Saccharomyces cerevisiae S288C: one gene and its partners. The gene in region 3 interacts genetically with the main gene of each other region. Each region holds a gene or a part of one and is shown on either strand. Other genes may lie near its edges.

The links. A genetic interaction does not mean that the proteins touch.
Region 1: mutations in SDH9 (region 3) and ROF1 together harm fitness more than expected from each alone (negative genetic interaction), as found in Saccharomyces cerevisiae (one large-scale study listed by BioGRID).
Region 2: mutations in SDH9 (region 3) and ARE2 together harm fitness more than expected from each alone (negative genetic interaction), as found in Saccharomyces cerevisiae (2 studies listed by BioGRID).

What each region holds. Positions count from the first base shown.
Region 1 is NC_001140.6:452,509-458,452, reverse strand, and holds ROF1 (Rof1p), read right to left. Parts: upstream 1,863-5,944; coding exon 501-1,862; downstream 1-500. Other genes in the region: FMO1 (N,N-dimethylaniline monooxygenase), read right to left, coding at 2,926-4,224; YHR175W-A (uncharacterized protein), read right to left, coding at 4,746-4,895; CTR2 (low-affinity Cu transporter), read right to left, coding at 5,012-5,581; phosphopyruvate hydratase ENO2, read right to left, coding at 5,813-5,944.
Region 2 is NC_001146.8:661,346-667,767, forward strand, and holds ARE2 (sterol acyltransferase), read left to right. Parts: upstream 1-3,993; coding exon 3,994-5,922; downstream 5,923-6,422. Other genes in the region: acetyl-CoA carboxylase ACC1, read right to left, coding at 1-29; protein transporter TIM23, read left to right, coding at 1,568-2,236; RCF2 (Rcf2p), read left to right, coding at 2,925-3,599; ATP23 (putative metalloprotease), read right to left, coding at 6,065-6,422. UniProt on the Saccharomyces cerevisiae protein: Sterol O-acyltransferase that catalyzes the formation of stery esters.
Region 3 is NC_001142.9:352,305-360,594, reverse strand, and holds SDH9 (succinate dehydrogenase SDH9), read right to left. Parts: upstream 4,572-8,290; coding exon 2,667-4,571; downstream 1-2,666. Other genes in the region: YJL043W (uncharacterized protein), read right to left, coding at 1-465; GTPase-activating protein GYP6, read left to right, coding at 919-2,295; AIM22 (putative lipoate--protein ligase), read right to left, coding at 6,980-8,209. UniProt on the Saccharomyces cerevisiae protein: Probable minor catalytic subunit of succinate dehydrogenase (SDH) that is involved in complex II of the mitochondrial electron transport chain and is responsible for transferring electrons from succinate to ubiquinone (coenzyme Q).

The DNA of each region.
Region 1 (5,944 bases), on a different chromosome or scaffold from region 3:
AATTGGATGAGGACAAAATGTGTTGTTGCAACTTTAACTACGTGAGAAAGGTGAAAGTAAGGTATTAGAAGAGAGGACACAAGAGTTATAATATCAGTAACTTTCGAAGTGGGTATCTCACATGGTTTTGATTGGGGTTCTCGATTGTTTTGCCCCCCTGGTTTATTCATTTTTCATAACAATGCCAAGAACCGTTTTTAGGTTTGATTTCTCAGTTCCCTTGCGTTTCTTTCTCTGGAAATTTCATGATAGAATTACAAATTTGGATATGCTTGTTAGTATATGATACAATGATGGAGGTGAAAATCAGATGGTCCTATAAATAGTTTTTCGAAATCCATCGATGGTAGGGAACAACAAGAACAAGCACCCTCCTGTTTTTTTAAAACCCTTTCTGAAAAACACACAATTGGCTGCCCTTTCTATGTAGTGAAGAATCCTTTTGGAATATGAGCGGTACTTTAGGTGAACCTTTCAGCAATTGAAAGGATGCTGATCTTCTACTTTGAGTATTGGTGGGATTTAGGATTGCTTGATGTGTTGTTTTTACTAAATGTTGGTGGATGTTGCATGCTGTCTGGCGCATGAATCATTTGGTATTGTGTTTGAGCCGGGGGATTCATACGAGGAGCTGGCAAAATATAAATGCCATCTAGGTTCTTGTTGGTTGTGGAGGTGGTTATGTTTACATTTGGAGGATTAATAGAATCTGTGACTGGTTTTGGTTGTCGGTAATCATGCACAAGTATATGGTGTACTGGGGGCATCATTGTTGGGGCGATAGGCGCCTTAGAGTGATTGCATTCAGGACCCGACCTCGAAGAGTATGGATCGATATTTTGGTATGGTATTGGGCTCAATGTATTGGAGGAGTATATCACTGAAGGCGACACGCCACGCCGTTCATAAGGTGCTGCAGTAGGTTGTTGCGGGAGAGTATTGTATGTATTGCAGAAAATCATAGGTTGTGAGACCGTACGTCTCAATCCAGGCTGATAGTTAGGATTGTAAACACCAATTGGTTGTGGCTGGTGCTGCATATACGGGAGAGGTAATTTATTCTGTTCATCTATGGGTAAGAGATATTGTTGCTGTTGTCGGTGCTGCTGTTGGTGCATTTCTCGAGGAGCGTTATTGAAGGTGGTTAAAGGTAACTGAACTGCGGTCCTAACTGGAATATTTCCAGGATGGTTGTTATAATTGCTCAAGAGATCACAATAGCTCGGAGAAGATGATAAAGACCTGCGCGTTTTATAATTATGAGCTTTGGTTCTGCCTCTCTCATTATTTTTAGACGGGTTAGATCTGCCATTTCCTACAGCAACTTTTTGTAAAGCATCTAATAGTTTCTGTGAAGGTCGAAATTTATGGAAGAAAGGATTTTCTGAAGGTCTCCTCAAACTTCCTTGATGAATATCCTTTTCCGTATAGTACGCAATAAGATGAAATGTTTCCAGCTTAGTGCTGTCGGTGGGATCCATATTGAATTTTAGAGAAAATGTTTTTTTCAGTAGTCCAGTATAAAAATACTTCCTATGAGCCCTCTCGAAGATATTATACTCAGGTACATTATGCAGCGGTAGATCGTGCGTGGAACCCAGCCTATTATACTCTCTATATACGAGAAATTTGCCTGAAATTCTTGAAGGAGACCAAGAAAAACCATCTGTCCATCTTTTGATGCCGGATTTCTCTTCGTTGAAAACAAAAATGTTTCCGGGGTTGACTAATTCAACCTTTTCTGCATCATATGGCCTCCGTTCGATGCATCTCAAATTTCCATTGAATACGCCCTGGAAAACAAGGGCTAGATCTTGCTCGTCGTCGATGTACCCATAACAGGTAGGGCTGATATCCATCATTCTTACGCTTACTCGTCGATCTCCTTTTCCTATCTATTGTTTGATTAATTATCTTAATTCGTGGTTCCCTTTTTTCTCGCTTTATTTGTTTGTTTTGTTGAAGAAGGGCTTACAAGAATGTACGTATTAAATAATAATTCATACAAATAAACAGGGAATGATACATAGTAGTTCTCCCGCAGCAGCTACGTATGAATTACCCGCCTACCCGGTACTATAAAGAAAGAATAAGTGGGCGTCGATTATGAAGATTTACTAACTGCAATTATCATTTTTTTGATTTTCCTCAGTCCCTTAGGTGCGTTTTTGTGTTAATGCCTATTTTTTTTTTCTAGGCTTTCTTCTTCACTTCCTCTTTCCTCTTGAATTTTGAGGAATATACGACCGAGAAAAAGACAGACTACTTAAAAAGTTGCCAGAGTGATTAAAGTTCCGGGAACAAGGCTAAAATACGTTTACAACATATTCTTCCTTTTTTTTCCACATAAAAAGGTTAATAGTCATAGTCATATGTTAGCGTGATTTCAACTTAAAATTAGAGATTATTAGATAATTTTTTTTTAAATGACGGCCAAGAAAGTGAAAGTCTAAAAGGAACGTTTATCGCTTAATTTCTCTCTGCCTCAGATTCATACGTTGTTAAGATCTTTAAAAGGATGGCCTTTGCAGGATACTGAGGTTTATGCTGGCGCGCCTGTGCGGATTTTCCAGATTCAAAAAGAAAGTTTTCTTTTTTTTTTACATGGGAACTGCGTAGCCGCGAAGCACTGCAGGCCTTTCAGAGCAATTTTTGGCGCTGCCTTTTAAAAACTTACATTAAGGTTCGCTATTGCCGAAACGGAAGAGGCGGAAATTTAAGTATTCGTTAATTTTACGGTGGCGGTACGGTATATTCTGCGTAAGCAATCTGCGGACGGCCGGATTATTAATCAATGTTTGAAAAAAAAAGATAGCAGAAGTGAAGATTTCTTATTTTAACAGCGATAAGGTATATACATGAGGGAAACGAAATATTAAGCGGCACAATATGTGTTTTTTCTATACAAGTACATTCCTTTTTACGTTAAGTATGTGGCGCCGGAAGGAAGTATGGTGCTTTTTTTTTCTTTAGGGCTTGTGCGTGTTCCGCTAGAAGCACATTTCTTTCTTCTTTGTCTGTATAACTACTGTTTCTTAGATCGATCAGTCTATCATCCCATACAACTGGTTCGAAATGACCGACCCTACGTGGAATGCTATTCAGTAGTTCCTGTAGTTCTGCATAGTATTCCAGGTCCTTTCCCTTTGGGAAGTTGTGCGTTCCGCAGGCATTAGAGTCGAAAGTTGTAGTTATCGGTAAGCTTTTACAGAATACTTCGACCATAATAGCCGCCTGTAGTTCCGACAACGGGAACGGGATGACCAACTGCGGGGTCAAGATAAAGGACAGCGTAGGATCTTTTACATAGATCATGTGCTCCCACAAATTGTGCAGATTGACAGACGAGTGCTTGTCGCCAGTAACACCCTCACCTAGCACTTCCAGTCTAACGGAGGGCTCTATAAATGGAAAGCTGTAATAATAGCCTGTGGCGAAAATAATGTAGTCTATATTCTGAAGTACTCTTCCATCAGATAAAGTAACTGAACGATTTTTCCAATCGGCACTGTCTATTGTTTGGACAGTCTCGATTAACTTGGCCTTCAGTTGATTGCTCGCAGGCTCTTTTATACTATTATATACTTTCTTTGCAACGGTAGTTAGTTGGTTGGCAATATCTTGGCCGGAACTGCCGTTTCCCACCACAATAACGACTTTTTCACGGGCAAACTCGCAGTTTTTGAAATCCTTAGAATGAAAGGCGCCCTTATTGTCGAACCATAGATCGAGACCTGCGATATTAGTTGGTAGTTTAGGGACACTGTAGTGACCAGACGCAACAATAACGAAGTCAAAATCCGATTTAGTAGTCCTTAGTTCGTCTTTAGATGTTATCTCCCATTGAGAGTTCTTCTTCTTTAAGTAGGTAACTTCGGTGCTGAAATGGATGCTGATAGCATCTTTGTTGGCAATGAACGTTTTGTAATAGGCTTTCAAGTATTCCCAAATGTTTCTTCGAGACGGATATAAAGGGACGTTTTCCTCGAAGGGAAAGCCGCTAAACTGCATTAACTTCTTTGATATATTGGTTTCCAAATGGTCATACATGACCCTCCCATCACTTTTTTGTTCTGGATAATGCCAGACACCGCCAATATCGTAATCCTTTACAAATATTTCTATTTCAAAATTTGGAAGACTTTGCGAGAAAACTCTTGCAGCTGCCAACCCTCCTGGCCCCCCACCTATGATTGCCAATCTTTTTTTGTCATTCACTGTCATGCCTAGTTACTTCTTGTTATTTCTCGCTTCCTGCTTGAATTTTCTGTATTATTGTATTTTCGACTTGTATAAAAACAGTGGCCCATTTAAATACAGTCCCAAATAACGACTGCGTTTTTGCAGTGGCATTTATCCTTGATATGAGGCTACAGGATTATCTTGCATAATGGCTTTTCTCGGCAAAAAGATGTCTGGCGCTTCCTATGTAAAGGTAATATCATGTGATTAAGAGTGAAAAGAGGAATTTAAAAGGTAGAAAAGGGTTCATGGAATCTTTCATAAAGCAGAACATTAATACTTGCCGCGTTGAAATGAGGTGCGATTTCGTGTTGTGGACGGGACATTAAATTCATCACTTATATAATTAAATATAACGTTATAGTAGATCGTCTCAAAACGGTATAACAACCCGCGCCCACCCTTAAATAGTATTACTTTTGTTCAAGATTAGCTCGAATGGTCGCTGGCAAACTGTTGAAGAACTAGATCGTTTCATGATTAACATCTTGGCGACGCAGAAGTTAATGATATAGAAATAGTGGACTATTTTGATTACTGAGGCTGTAGCCAATAAACGATAACATAAAGGGGGGGATATATAAACTTGTGTCAAAGACTAGTAACGTACGAGTGCTAAATATTATACATGTAATGTTAACGTAGTTTATCATTATACTCAGTGGGAACAAATAAAGGGAAGGGTATGAATGAGGAAGAAATACGAAAAATCCCGGATAAAAACAAAATAGATACAAATAGTATCAAATTTGTAATATTTGTCACCATCTTAATGGCAGGCGAGGGAGCTGTCATCTATCTCAGGACTATACGAAGTACACCAGCTGTAATTACCCCATATTGCCCCACACACGACAGCTAACATTAACCAACCATTATAAGTCATGAATACAAGCATGAGCATGAATGAGAATCCCACTTGCAAACCATATAGAATACTATTGGACACTTTGTCGGCTTGGTTGATCTTGGTCAGAGATCTATTTGGTAACAATACTCTCTGGGATAATTGTCTCTTATGGACACAGTACTTTAAGTACTCATAGAGGTAGGCTAGACCAAAAATTGCTAAACAACTTAAAATCAGTCCAGGCAGGGTCTTGATATGCCACCATTCAAAGACGACACACGTATTCTTGTATGACCACGAAAATAGCATATTCATCGAACAGGTATCATCTCCATCTCCCATATGCATATCACTGTGGTCGTGGCCCGCATTTCCTTCCATCTTGTGATTCATGCTATCCATCTTTTTTGAGTATCCAATTAACGAAGACGTTACCAGCTGATTGAAGGTTCTCAAAGTGACTGTACTCCATGTTTTCTTATCATCCATGTAGTTATTTTTCAAACTGCAAATTCAAGAAAAAGCCACGCGTGTGCACCTTTTTTTTCCCCTTCCAGTGCATTATGCAATAGACAGCACGAGTCTTTGAAAAAGTAACTTATAAAACTGTATCAATTTTTAAACCTAAATAGATTCATAAACTATTCGTTAATATAAAGTGTTCTAAACTATGATGAAAAAATAAGCAGAAAAGACTAATAATTCTTAGTTAAAAGCACTTTACAACTTGTCACCGTGGTGGAAGTTTTCACCGGCGTAGACAGCCTTGTCACCCAATTCTTCTTCGATTCTCAACAATTGGTTCAACTTAGCCAATCTTTCGGATCTAGCTGGAGCACCAGTCTTGATTTG
Region 2 (6,422 bases), on a different chromosome or scaffold from region 3:
GAAGACTCGAATAAGCTTTCTTCGCTCATGGTAGAAACTTGATTTTTTCTAATTTTCTGCGCTGTTTCGGGAACGGAAAAAAATTAAGCTAGAAGACGAATCGGTTATTATACTATTATATTTGTATAGTATAGTAGCGTGTCGTATCGTATCGTGTCGTATCGTATCGTATCGTTAAAAGAAAATACACGAATAAATAATAATATGTGGAGAAGAAAAAGGGAAGTTTCTTGTCTCTTGCTCTGAATCTGAATTCCAATTCAAGTTCAAATTGTTCTCTAGTTTATTGTCCAAAAATAAGGATGAAGCGGGAGGGAAGGGCAGAGGGAAAAGTTCGTATAGTAGAATGAATAAACTTTTATAAACACATGCACCGATCACTCACAGAGGATAAAAAAATGGCACAACAAATATATATATATAGATGCAAATGGCGATTGCAAATTAGGGAATTGGCTTTGTTGTTTTTTATCTTCAGGTAAACTGTACGAAAGGGATAAAAAGAGTAGAATAAGGAAAGGAAAATTGAAGAGAGCAGAACAATTGTAGAACCGATAACAATTGTGACAGTGATTGTGCTAGGCTATACTGTGCCAGAATACGACTGGGAGTGCTGTTCTTCTTATATATCTTGGCGCTGATTGAGCGTATAGCCTAGTTCACCAAGCAGTAGAGAGAGTGGCAATGAGCGGTTGAATTTCGACTGCGACTTGTTGGCACAACGCGCGCGCGGCCGGGCCATGTGAAGATTTTAACGGGCGCAACGATTCGGTGGGCAGTGGAAATTGTTGGGCGTTGTTCAACAAGATGAAGCATTCCCCTTTGGATAACGTCAACGCATATCGGGCCAACCTACAGGCAATGAGCGAAAGCGACTGAAGCCGAGAGATGTGCCCGGAGTTTGTTGTTCTTGTTCTTGTTCTTGTTCTTGTTCTTCTTGACGGATGATACTAGTCGCAGTCGTGGTGACTCTGGAGGGCGTAACGGCCGTGATGCGGCCTGAGCTCACTGTGACGTCGATGCATGCGCGGGTTCGTTGCGTTCAGGCCTGACGGGCGATTCCCCACCAAGTATAAGTGTCATGATATACGCGGCACCTGAGCAGCACATTAGGTCCCAATTCAACCCAACATATATAATGGTTCTGTATGGGTATTTTAAGTGTGCAAACAAAATGTGAGTTACCCGGCTGTTTGCTAGTCGCTGCGTACGAACTGGCTTGCTAAAGCTGGGTAAAAATAATTTAATCGCAAAAGGAAGAAAAGGAAATCGACGATTCATTGAAAAAAAGAGAAAATACTGAAAAAAAAAAGACACCGACAAAAAAAAGAGAGAAAGGAACCTTTACGTAGAGCAAAAGGGAAACATTTGTTGCGTTTAATTAATAGAAATAATAGGTTATTGCATTCGCCCTCCATTGCAGAAAAAAAAAAAAAAAAGACCATTTTCCTCTTCTACTCTCTTTGCCTGTACATACTACACGTTATAGCGTTAACAAAAGCAGATAGAAAAAAAAAAAATAACCAAGATAATATAGGTATACTTGTTTAACAGATCACACACAATCATGTCGTGGCTTTTTGGAGATAAGACACCTACCGATGATGCGAATGCTGCCGTGGGCGGCCAAGATACAACCAAGCCTAAGGAACTATCGTTGAAGCAGAGTTTAGGTTTCGAGCCAAACATCAATAACATAATATCAGGTCCTGGTGGAATGCATGTCGACACCGCTAGGCTGCATCCTTTGGCTGGTCTAGACAAGGGTGTGGAGTATTTAGATCTGGAAGAAGAACAACTATCCTCGTTAGAAGGCTCACAGGGTCTGATCCCTTCCCGTGGGTGGACCGATGACCTATGTTACGGTACCGGTGCCGTCTACCTGCTGGGACTTGGTATCGGAGGGTTTTCTGGTATGATGCAGGGTCTGCAGAATATTCCGCCCAATAGTCCCGGAAAATTGCAATTGAACACCGTCCTGAATCACATTACTAAGAGAGGTCCCTTCTTAGGTAATAATGCGGGGATTCTCGCGTTGAGCTACAATATCATCAATTCTACAATAGATGCACTAAGAGGCAAACATGACACCGCGGGCTCCATTGGCGCTGGGGCCCTCACGGGCGCTTTGTTCAAGTCTTCAAAAGGTTTGAAACCCATGGGTTATTCCTCGGCAATGGTGGCCGCTGCGTGCGCCGTCTGGTGTAGTGTCAAGAAAAGACTACTTGAAAAATGAGCAACACAAGAACCTACTCTCTCTCTCTCTTTCTCTCTCTCTCTCCCTCTTCGCTTTTCCCCCATGCACTGATGGCGCTTGTATATAGCATTTGAAAAATAATAGTACGTAACGCAGAAAACAAACCAATGAAAGTAGAAACCCGGAGAAAAGATCTAAAAAAACAAAAAAAAAAGATGGAAAGAGCGCATGTATGTGTAGATATGTACATATATACAACTACTTGTATGTTATTTGCCTTTTGTACTGTTAAGCTATTGTTTTCGATGGCCAATTAAAGTAAAACAAACCGCTCACTCTCGGGTATTTCCCGAAACTGTCAGAGCCGTCCCGGCCCACCGATTCGCCCGGCAAGACCTGCTTGGAAGCAGCACAAAGCCCTGCGGCCTCTGTACACCTCACGCTAAATAGCTGCTAACGATCAACACCTGACCGAGATAACAGCAGCAAAGAACCCGCAAAAAACTGCGCCGTCTAGGCCTCAACCCTTGCTTCCTACAACCAAACAATGGTAAAATATACAAAAAAAAGAAAAGAATGCTCTTTCTTATTTCCCTTTTAACCTAACCATCTTTTGTTTTTTGTCGTTTAACCTGGAAAGAATGTTCTATTATATAAACACTCTTTACTACGTCTTTAGCTTGAAAAAACTCTTGACAAGTGCACCGATACTCACCAACATCGCACAATGAAGATTTTAACCCAAGACGAAATTGAAGCTCATCGCTCACATACGCTAAAAGGTGGTATTGAAGGTGCCCTTGCCGGATTTGCAATCTCTGCTATAATTTTCAAAGTCCTACCAAGAAGGTACCCAAAATTCAAGCCTTCGACTCTAACATGGTCCATAAAAACCGCCCTTTGGATCACCCCTCCCACGGTCTTGACTGCTATATGTGCGGAGGAGGCCTCGAACAATTTCGACGCTACAATGTACGGATCCGGTTCCTCCTCGGAAGACGCACTAGATGAGCACAGAAGATGGAAGAGTTTGAGTACAAAGGACAAGTTTGTCGAAGGTCTATCTAATAACAAGTATAAGATCATCACCGGTGCCTGGGCCGCTTCGCTGTATGGGTCGTGGGTAATCGTGAACAAAGACCCCATCATGACCAAAGCTCAGAAGATCGTGCAGGCAAGAATGTACGCTCAATTCATTACCGTCGGGCTGCTGCTGGCCTCCGTTGGTTTGAGCATGTACGAGAATAAGTTACATCCTAACAAACAAAAGGTCAACGAAATGCGCCGCTGGGAAAACGCACTGAGGGTCGCCGAAGAGGAAGAGAGACTCGAGAAAGAGGGAAGAAGGACCGGCTACGTTTCTAACGAAGAAAGAATAAACTCCAAGATCTTCAAGTCGTAAACCTCGTCGGTTTATCTGCCTCAACTTTATTTCCGCTCCTCGTCTTTTATAAAATTCCTTTCATCAATACATCTATATATTCGAATATATAGATAAACCAATACAAAAACATACTGAAATTTTTTGAAAACAACTAAAACTATTCATTGCAGTTACACGTGAATGCTAAACTTTATATCGCTCTTGTCGGTCCCGCGGAGTTAACATTTAACGGCTTCTCGCGCAATAACCGGAAAAATTCCAACAGTTTCTTTGTAATATTATTAAGCCTTCTTTTTTCCCGGAATCTATAAGAGGGGACGAAAATTAGCCGCTATTAATTCTGGTATTGCCACCTAGACAAGAAGTAAACAGACACATTACGTTAGCAAAAGCAACAATAACAAACACAACCATGGACAAGAAGAAGGATCTACTGGAGAACGAACAATTTCTCCGCATCCAAAAGCTCAACGCTGCCGATGCGGGCAAAAGACAATCTATAACAGTGGACGACGAGGGCGAACTATATGGGTTAGACACCTCCGGCAACTCACCAGCCAATGAACACACAGCTACCACAATTACACAGAATCACAGCGTGGTGGCCTCAAACGGAGACGTCGCATTCATCCCAGGAACTGCTACCGAAGGCAATACAGAGATTGTAACTGAAGAAGTGATTGAGACCGATGATAACATGTTCAAGACCCATGTGAAGACTTTAAGCTCCAAAGAGAAGGCACGGTATAGGCAAGGGTCCTCTAACTTTATATCGTATTTCGATGATATGTCATTTGAACACAGGCCCAGTATATTAGATGGGTCAGTTAACGAGCCCTTCAAGACCAAATTCGTGGGACCTACTTTAGAAAAGGAGATCAGAAGAAGGGAGAAAGAGCTAATGGCCATGCGCAAAAATTTACACCACCGCAAGTCCTCCCCAGATGCTGTCGACTCAGTAGGGAAAAATGATGGCGCCGCCCCAACTACTGTTCCAACTGCCGCCACCTCAGAAACGGTGGTCACCGTTGAAACCACCATAATTTCATCCAATTTCTCCGGGTTGTACGTGGCGTTTTGGATGGCTATTGCATTTGGTGCTGTCAAGGCTTTAATAGACTATTATTACCAGCATAATGGTAGCTTCAAGGATTCGGAGATCTTGAAATTTATGACTACGAATTTGTTCACTGTGGCATCCGTAGATCTTTTGATGTATTTGAGCACTTATTTTGTCGTTGGAATACAATACTTATGCAAGTGGGGGGTCTTGAAATGGGGCACTACCGGCTGGATCTTCACCTCAATTTACGAGTTTTTGTTTGTTATCTTCTACATGTATTTAACAGAAAACATCCTAAAACTACACTGGCTGTCCAAGATCTTCCTTTTTTTGCATTCTTTAGTTTTATTGATGAAAATGCATTCTTTCGCCTTCTACAATGGCTATCTATGGGGTATAAAGGAAGAACTACAATTTTCCAAAAGCGCTCTTGCCAAATACAAGGATTCTATAAATGATCCAAAAGTTATTGGTGCTCTTGAGAAAAGCTGTGAGTTTTGTAGTTTTGAATTGAGCTCTCAGTCTTTAAGCGACCAAACTCAAAAATTCCCCAACAATATCAGTGCAAAAAGCTTTTTTTGGTTCACCATGTTTCCAACCCTAATTTACCAAATTGAATATCCAAGAACTAAGGAAATCAGATGGAGCTACGTATTAGAAAAGATCTGCGCCATCTTCGGTACCATTTTCTTAATGATGATAGATGCTCAAATCTTGATGTATCCTGTAGCAATGAGAGCATTGGCTGTGCGCAATTCTGAATGGACTGGTATATTGGATAGATTATTGAAATGGGTTGGATTGCTCGTTGATATCGTCCCAGGGTTTATCGTGATGTACATCTTGGACTTCTATTTGATTTGGGATGCCATTTTGAACTGTGTGGCTGAATTGACAAGATTTGGCGACAGATATTTCTACGGTGACTGGTGGAATTGTGTTAGTTGGGCAGACTTCAGTAGAATTTGGAACATCCCAGTGCATAAGTTTTTGTTAAGACATGTTTACCATAGTTCAATGAGTTCATTCAAATTGAACAAGAGTCAAGCAACTTTGATGACCTTTTTCTTAAGTTCCGTCGTTCATGAATTAGCAATGTACGTTATCTTCAAGAAATTGAGGTTTTACTTGTTCTTCTTCCAAATGCTGCAAATGCCATTAGTAGCTTTAACAAATACTAAATTCATGAGGAACAGAACCATAATCGGAAATGTTATTTTCTGGCTCGGTATCTGCATGGGACCAAGTGTCATGTGTACGTTGTACTTGACATTCTAAGGCATCCTGCAACTGTTCTGTGGAGCTATTAAATCTTTATAGTAAATTTTTTTTTACTTTTTTTTTTTTTTTTTTTTTTTTTTATTATTTACAAGCGTCTATATATTTTCTATTATAGAATATTGTCATTTATTACATTGGTTCATCTGTAAATCTCATCAAACGGTCTCGTATCGGCGAAGCAACTGTCCCAAACTTCATCTACAATTTTTGCTGCATGTTCTTTGCTTTGGCAGTTGGGGTTCCCCGAAACACTAATTATTGCCCTCCTTCTAACACAATCTTGGTGTCCCCTTGCCACATGGAATCCTGTCCTAAACCCTCTTCTCTTGAACTCTTCCCAAAACCTGCATTCCCCACTTAACGAAGAGGCTCTGATTTCAGAACATGCATGATGCTTCAGATTTAACCAATCTATTTGCCATTTTAGATCATCGAAATAATGAATTAATTCATGCGAAAGCGTATCCTCTAAATGCCACTTATCACGTAACCTGTTC
Region 3 (8,290 bases):
GATAGTCCGTGACTGTTGCCAGGGAAATCTCCACTTGGGTCGGTTGGTACAGCCTGTGTGTTTTACCGTTGATGGGCCCATGTAGTGGGACCAGTCATCCAAGAGCCTAGCATAGCTTTGACGTAGCGGCGCCGTCGCGGCGCCGCTTTCAAAGCTAGCCGGGTTGGCGATCTCGATGGGTATTATGGTGTTGCATTTCTGCAGGAGGTCGATACAGTCGGTGATCTGGTGTAGGGTCATCGCCATAGCAAACAATTTCTGCGTCAGTCCGGCAGTACGGCCACTAGCAAAGTCTTCGTCAGTAAGTGCCACAATGTCGTGGCACTTTGGTACTAGACTTTTCAGAATCTCCAATTGTTCGCTGATGGCTTCACAGCGCTGAAAACAGCAGTAAGTGTTGACCAACTTACCAAAAGATGCATTTATATCCGTGTAACGCTCCAGTCCGGAATAATCAACAAACATGGCTTGCGGTTTTCCTGAACACTCACCTTTTAGTATTCTTTTTTTCTTTTTTTTCTATTTTTTTTTCGACATAATTATTATTTTTTCTTGAATTATTTACTGACGCAAAGTTCTGACCACAGAAAAATTCCACGTCTTATTTTGCCCATGCCAGCCGTAGAATACGCACACGTGTACGCATGCTCCAAGTGTTATTGTAACTGGATGGTGCGCTGGTTTAGGCCTGTAAGCGGTCGTAAAGGAAAACCGGATATTATGTTACCCGCTTCTCCTACGGCATTACTAGTTCCTTTTTTTTTTTTTTTCAATTTTTCCATTGAGTTTTCCATAATCGGTACAGCAGCGTTTAATTTCATTACCTTTTTCAGAACAATGGGGGAGAGTTGTCAAGAGAATTGGCATACATAGAGAGGGTTAGCTGTCGTGCGTTTGTATTTTTTCGCTTATGCAACCATGAAGGATGTCTTACAATGGGCGATTGACCACTACGAGACAAGAGACCAACTGGTGCAGAAGGGAATTTGGAAAGGTGAACTCTACCATGACTCTATCTTTAAAGAAAATAGTAGAGGCTGGCTCTGGAAAGCTTTGCTTCTGTGTGATGAAAACAACAACTGCTTGTTAACTGATAACTTTAAAGGTTTGGACCTTAACCAGTTCGGCTTGGTGCCAGTGCCTATGCTGGCAGATGGCGACAACTATGACGAAAATCATAATGCAAATGTACCTAAAAGGGTCTTGCACTCGAACGTTTCCTCCTCAGTGGGAATCAGGAGGCTGACTCCCGTCGAGGCTGTTGAAAAACATCCCTTGTCTGATGACAATGACAAAACTAAAGGTTCTTTGTCCAAGGGAAGTGATGAAAAGCCGTTGACACTGAGGGAAACTCTGGAAATTATAGATTTGGACCTCTCAAGGATAATGCTTGACGATATATTTCAGGAACCCAAGGTTCATGCTCAAATGAGACAACTTTTGTACAATTACCTGCTTATACATCAAAGCGAACACCTACAGTATAAACAAGGGTTCCACGAAATATTAAGCGTCATTTATCTGCAATTATATCACGGTACAGATCTCGATAATACCGATTTGCAAAACGTTCTGATTATCTTTAACAAGCTAATGAACCAAATCGAACCGATTTTTTATAACGAAGAAAATTTGATTAACTGGGATAAGAGAGTATTCACGAAAATCTTTAGGATTTGTTTGCCAGACTTGTTTTCAAAGGTTTTTTACCAACCACCAAAAACGGGCAGCGGGAAGAAAAAAAACGTAGACCATCTGATTCACTCCAACCTAATCTGGCTCATCCGATGGACAAGGTTGTTATTTTTAAGAGAATTACCCTTAAAATATGTGCTAATCGTTTGGGACCACGTCCTGACGTTCAATTATCCCTTGGATATTTTCATTGCATGCACTATCATCACCCTTTTGTTATCCATTTACGATGAGCTTCACGAACTAGTGAGCCAAGGTGACTATGAACATACGAATAATAACGATGAATTTGTTGAATTGATTTTGCATTTCAAGAAAATTTTTGAAAAGGAAGATGCCAGTAAAGATGATGAAAAGTTTTTAGACCTGTGTAAGGTCACTGGAAATTTATGTGAATTGTGGTATGGAAAAAATTACGACGATATGAGATTGATTTGCGACACTTTTATAAATGCGAAGTTCGGCATAAAGACTAGTGATGTTTTAAGTATGGAAACAGCAAAGTTGACTATTGATCCTAATAGACAATCACTCGAAAACAAACTGAGGGAGAGGGTAAGGCAAACAATTTTGAAGAACAAAAAGAAAATAAGCCAATAAGTTTTTCTTGTCAATTACTCGTTGTTATTTGTTTGAAATCCCAGCCTGCACACCCGCACGACAAAATCAAAAAAAAAAAAAAAAAAACCCAGCTACCACCAACAAACAGATAGCCCACATGTCATATTTCCTAATGAGCTGGTTTCCCTCTGATATTTTTGCATATTGCAGCTCGACGTATATTGTACTTCAATGTCTTGCATAAAATTATATAGCATAATAGATAAGGTGTAAGTTGACAGTAAACGAGTACTATTGACCAAGAATCAATGAGAGAGATAGAGAGAAAAATAAGAAAAAAGGGAAAGATCATTTTTGCCAGATCAATAAATAAGTTTGCCCTCCAAAATAAATAAATAAATAAATAAGAATTAATAGGATCTGACAGCTGGAGGGACTGGGGCGCATTCATTCTCATCTAAAGTATGTGCGATTACATTCCTGTACTTGATTTTTACAGGTGTTGATGTCCCCTTTTGCCATGATAATGTGTGCTTTCTCCAATTCACATCATCTCTTTTTGCATAGTCCTCTCTCGCATGAGCACCACGAGACTCCTTTCTTTTGGAAGCAGAAACAGCCGTTTGTGTGGCACAAGTAAGTAAATTTTGCAATTCCAGAGTTTCTACGAGATCAGAATTCCAGATCATTGACTTATCAGAAACGTGCACATCCTCAAATGTCTTGTCCACTTCAGTAATATTTCTAACACCTTCATCTAGAGTGTCTTGCGTCCTGAAAACAGAAACATCTTTTTGCATTGTCCTTTGCATGTTCAACCTGATTTGAGAGGTTTTCAGTGAGCCGCGAGCATTTCTTACTTTATCCAAATTAGCAATTGACTCGTGCCCGATGTTTGAAGCCAATGGCTTATGAGGCAAGCCAGGCTGTAATGTGTCAGCAATGGTATTTGCAACGGCGCGACCGAAAACGACTAAATCCAGTAGTGAGTTAGCGCCTAATCTGTTCGCTCCATGAACCGATACGCAAGCAGCTTCACCACACGCCATCAATCCTGGGATGACCTTATCCTCTCCAGTTTCCTCGTCAATGGTCAATGCTTCACCAGTCCATTTTGTGGGAATGCCTCCCATATTATAATGGACAGTTGGCAAGACAGGAATTGGCTCCTGGGTGACATCGACACCCGCAAAGACAGCAGCTGTTTCAGATATTCCCGGTAGCCTTTCCTTTAGTACCTCAGGTGGTAGATGGCTTAATTGTAAAAGGATATGATCCTTGTTTTTCCCGACACCTCTGCCAGCCCTGATTTCCATGGTGATTGCTCTGGAAACAACATCCCTGCTTGCCAAGTCCTTGGCAGTAGGAGCATAGCGTTCCATAAACCTTTCTCCTTCAGAATTCAATAAAAATCCACCCTCACCACGGGCACCTTCAGTGATTAGGCAGCCAGACCCATAAATTCCTGACGGATGAAATTGAACAAATTCTAAATCCTCTAGTGGAAATCCAGCGCGAGAAACCATAGCATTACCGTCACCTGTACAAGTGTGAGCAGAAGTGCAAGAGAAGTAAGCTCTACCGTATCCGCCTGTCGCGATGACGGTCTTATGTGCTCTGAATCTGTGAATTGTACCGTCCTCCTGATTATAGGCAATGACACCCACAACCTCGCCATTATGGGTCAACAAATCCATTGCAAAGTATTCAATAAAGAAGTGTGTATTATTTTTCAGCGCTTGTCCATACAATGTATGAAGCATTGCGTGACCTGTTCTATCTGCCACCGCACAAGTCCTATAGGCCTGTCCACCTTTACCAAAATCTTTGGATTGTCCCCCAAATGCTCTCTGGTAAATCCTTCCATCTTCAGTCCTCGAAAAGGGCATACCGTAATGTTCTAGTTCAATGACAGACTTAGGTGCTTCTCTTGTCATGTAATGGATTGCATCTTGGTCTCCGAGCCAGTCAGAACCCTTGACAGTGTCGTACATGTGCGATTTCCAATCATCTGGATGCATATTTCCCAGCGCAGCATTAATTCCACCCTGAGCAGCCACAGTATGTGACCTTGTTGGAAACAACTTGGATAAACAAGCAGTCTTGTATCCAGCTTCAGCCAAACCGAAAGCTGCTCTTAAACCTGCACCGCCAGCGCCTACCACCACACAATCATATTCATGGTCGATAATATGATATTTGGCCGGCGGTTTCGATTCAGATTTCACTTCCCCAATTTGACGAACAACAGAGGAAGAAGTGAAAGTTCTTTGCAAGATGTATGATTTTGTTATTCCTTTTTTCAAAGATAACATAATTTATTAGCTCACGTGTATACATGTATATAGATATACGTATTTAGGCTCCTTCTTTTCTTATTTTAGCAGATAATTATTTAGAAAGTATATATAAGAACTTAGCTCTGACTAGAGTGAAAGAAATTTGCCGAAGTGTCGGTTGGATTGCCTTTTTTGCCACCTTGTGGAACCTTACTGTTCCGTTAAAGGGAAGACCCTTATATTCTAAAGGGAGCCACATAAGTCCGGAGAAGAGGAGCGCGACCTGAGAAAAGCGACTTGAGCGGCTAACGGGTTAATAAAGCTTACGGAAAATTAATGCATTGCAGCTTCCTATGAGTTTTGTCATTCTTATAGAAGCCGAAAATTCAAATAGATGATTTCTTGCGTGGAACCATAGGTATTCACACTATCTCTTCACAAAACTTGTTATATTGCAAGTATCTGTTGCCTCACATACGTACTGTATCAATCTGGATCTTAAAGTAGTAACTACAACAGCTTCAAAAAAAATCTCCGCGACGGGGAATTGAACCCCGATCTGGCACGCGACAAGCGCCCATTCTGACCATTAAACTATCACGGAAGAAACAAAGCACTCACGATGGGGGTCGAACCCATAATCTTCTGATTAGAAGTCAGACGCGTTGCCATTACGCCACGCGAGCTACTGTTTGTTGGAAGATTGGGATTAAAGGTAAACTATGCTTTGATTTCACCAATCTCGCAAACCAACGTTGAAAATCTAAACTCTCCTACTACATTTGCGTTTGGTAGCAGAATGTTGAGGAATAATAACCAATTACCATTTAGTTGACTAGTATTTATATGTCAACACTGTTGGAATAAAAATCAACTATCGTCTATGTTGGAATAAAAATCAACTATCATCTACTAACTAGTATTTACGTTGCTAGTATATTATCATATACGGTGTTAGAAGATGACGCAAATGATGAGAAATAGTCATCTAAATTAGTGGAAGCTGAAACGCAAGGATTGATAATGTAATAGGATCAATGAATATTAACATATAAAATGATGATAATAATATTTATAGAATTGTATAGAATTGCAGATTCCCTTTTATGGATTCCTAAATCCTCGAGGAGAACTTCTAGTATATCTACATACCTAATATTATTGCCTTATTAAAAATGGAATCCCAACAATTACATCAAAATCCACATTCTCTTCAGTCTATCAACTAGTAGTCATACTACCAATATATTATCATATATGGTGCTAAGATGATGGCATAAGTTATGAGAAGCTGTCATCGAAGTTAGAGGAAGCTGAAGTGCAAGGATTGATAATGTAATAGGATAATGAAACATATAAAACGGAATAAGGAATAAAACGGAATATTAGTATATAGAAATATAGGTTCCATTATGAGGATTCCTAGATCCTCGAGGAGAACTTCTAGTATATTCTGTATACCTAATATTATAGCCTTTATCAACAATGGAATCCCAACAATTATCTCAAAATTCACCAATTTTCATCTTTATCAAAAATGGAATTCCAACAATTATTAAGTTATAACCAAAATTAAAAATTCACATATTTCTCACAAACAAAATCTTTACAATCACTTATTGATCAGATATAATCCTGCAAAATGGAAAGAAATTATTAATTATGAAGAAGGGTACGGCGGCCAAGAGAAATTTCATCCACATTCTATTTAGAGCACATTAAAAAAATCTCCCGGGGGCGAGTCGAACGCCCGATCTCAAGATTTCGTAGTGGTAAATTACAGTCTTGCGCCTTAAACCAACTTGGCTACCGAGAGTGATAAATGATTAATAACCAAAAAATTTTGTTTCATCATACAAATTCAAAGAAAGTATTGTTTCATAAGAATGTTGCTGAAAGGACTTTGAGTGAATTGTGAACAGTTTGATAATTATTGGTCCAAATGGCGACATTGAAGACACAGTGTAAATTATTCAATGATGATTTGGCCTGGTTTTTACAAATGATTTTATCGACGTCAAGAGGATACAGTTCAAGAACGGTTAAGCGACATTGACAAAAAATGCTCAAAAACCACTGGTGCAACTTTACTGGTGGCAGTTTTTTGAAGTGAAAAGGAACTTTATTCTGGAGCGGAAGAAATTCAATAAATGTCACCACAATACCGATGCTATTCTTAGATGATCGATAAAATTAAGTACTATCTGTCGGTTTCTCAAATAACAGTATAAATATTTAGTTCACATTTAGAGACGGCTGAATCGTAACAAAATATAGTTCTTATAGATCTAAAGTACGAACACTCCTAATGTATCGCTTATATTGAAGTTTGCTGTGAATCTAGGACGCGTCTGCTGAAATATGCTGAATCAGTTTCCGGTGAAAGACTTTAATTTTGATATTTACCTACGTTATTTACAAGTGAATTGAAATATTCATCAACGTTATGTGTAACTGTCAATATTCTCCAAAAATCCTTTGAATTCCAAGCCGATTAAATCATTTCTATCACAATCATAAATCATGCCCTTTTCGACTTTAATTGTTAAGCCTTTATCTTTAATCTTCACTGAAAATTTAGGCCCCGAGAAATATTTCCATTGTTCGCTCTGTAAGGTGTTCATAGCATCTTTAATCTCATCGTTTATAGATTTAAACTCGTCACAGTAATATATAGGTATTTCGCCGTCAACTTTGAATGTTTTCTGAAAACGCTCGGATACCACTGCAATGAACTGATTAGGAGTAATTATACCAACATTTTTGATTTTTGATTTTACACTATGAACTCCACTTGACTCCCATTCCATATTGTTCGGTAGTGAGGGTTCTAATAAGCCGCTAAACTGTTCTAAATCCGCATTAAGCAACATCGTTGCATGATGGTATGCTTTGCCACCGGCAATTTTATAAGCACTGCCACTAATTTTAAACCCGTCCTGAATAATATCTCCTCTCTCATTCAAATCTAGTCTTAGTTCGGGATTCAATGAATTTAACCACTTAATTATCATTTTGTTGAAAAACTTTGTTTCGAATTTCTCCCTTGATGTTAAATATGAATAATTAACATTGCCCAAATCATGCAGTACAGTGCCACCTCCAGAAAATCTTCTAAGTAGTTCGAAATTCTTACTCTTCAGCTTAGCAAGATCTACTTCCTGCCACAGATTTTGGTTTTTGCCTATAACGGCGCACCTATCATTGATGTAAAATAACAGTCTGCAATTATCGGGACCTCTTTTGGCTCTTGGTGTATTCTTGAAAACATAGTTTTCAAGGGCCAAATTATAATAAGGACTGGTGGATAAACTTTGTATAACAAATCTGCCCTTTGCCTTTACTATATTTTCCAATTGTGAAGCAGACATGATCTGTTTGGCATATCCAATATTATAGAAATTGTACAAGTCTTTATTAAAAGCACTGATATCTTCTTCCATAGAGCTGGCCTTCGTCGTATCATAATCAGATTTACCTTCATCCTGCAAAATTGAAACGTTATCATTTGAAGGTGTAAACATGTTTTCATACATTGAGTTTATATCATGATATTTATCGTCTGCGTCTTTTGCCCATCGTGTAAGTGTGTGAAATAAAGTGGTGCAATGTATGAGGTTTCGCTGTCCCACATATCGAGGGGAGAGTGCCCAATTACTTAGCATCATAGACATAATGTAAACATCAAAGAAAAGTCTAGTGTTTTCTTCTTTTGTATTCATCAAAAATTCTACATACGTGAGCTCGGAGATTTT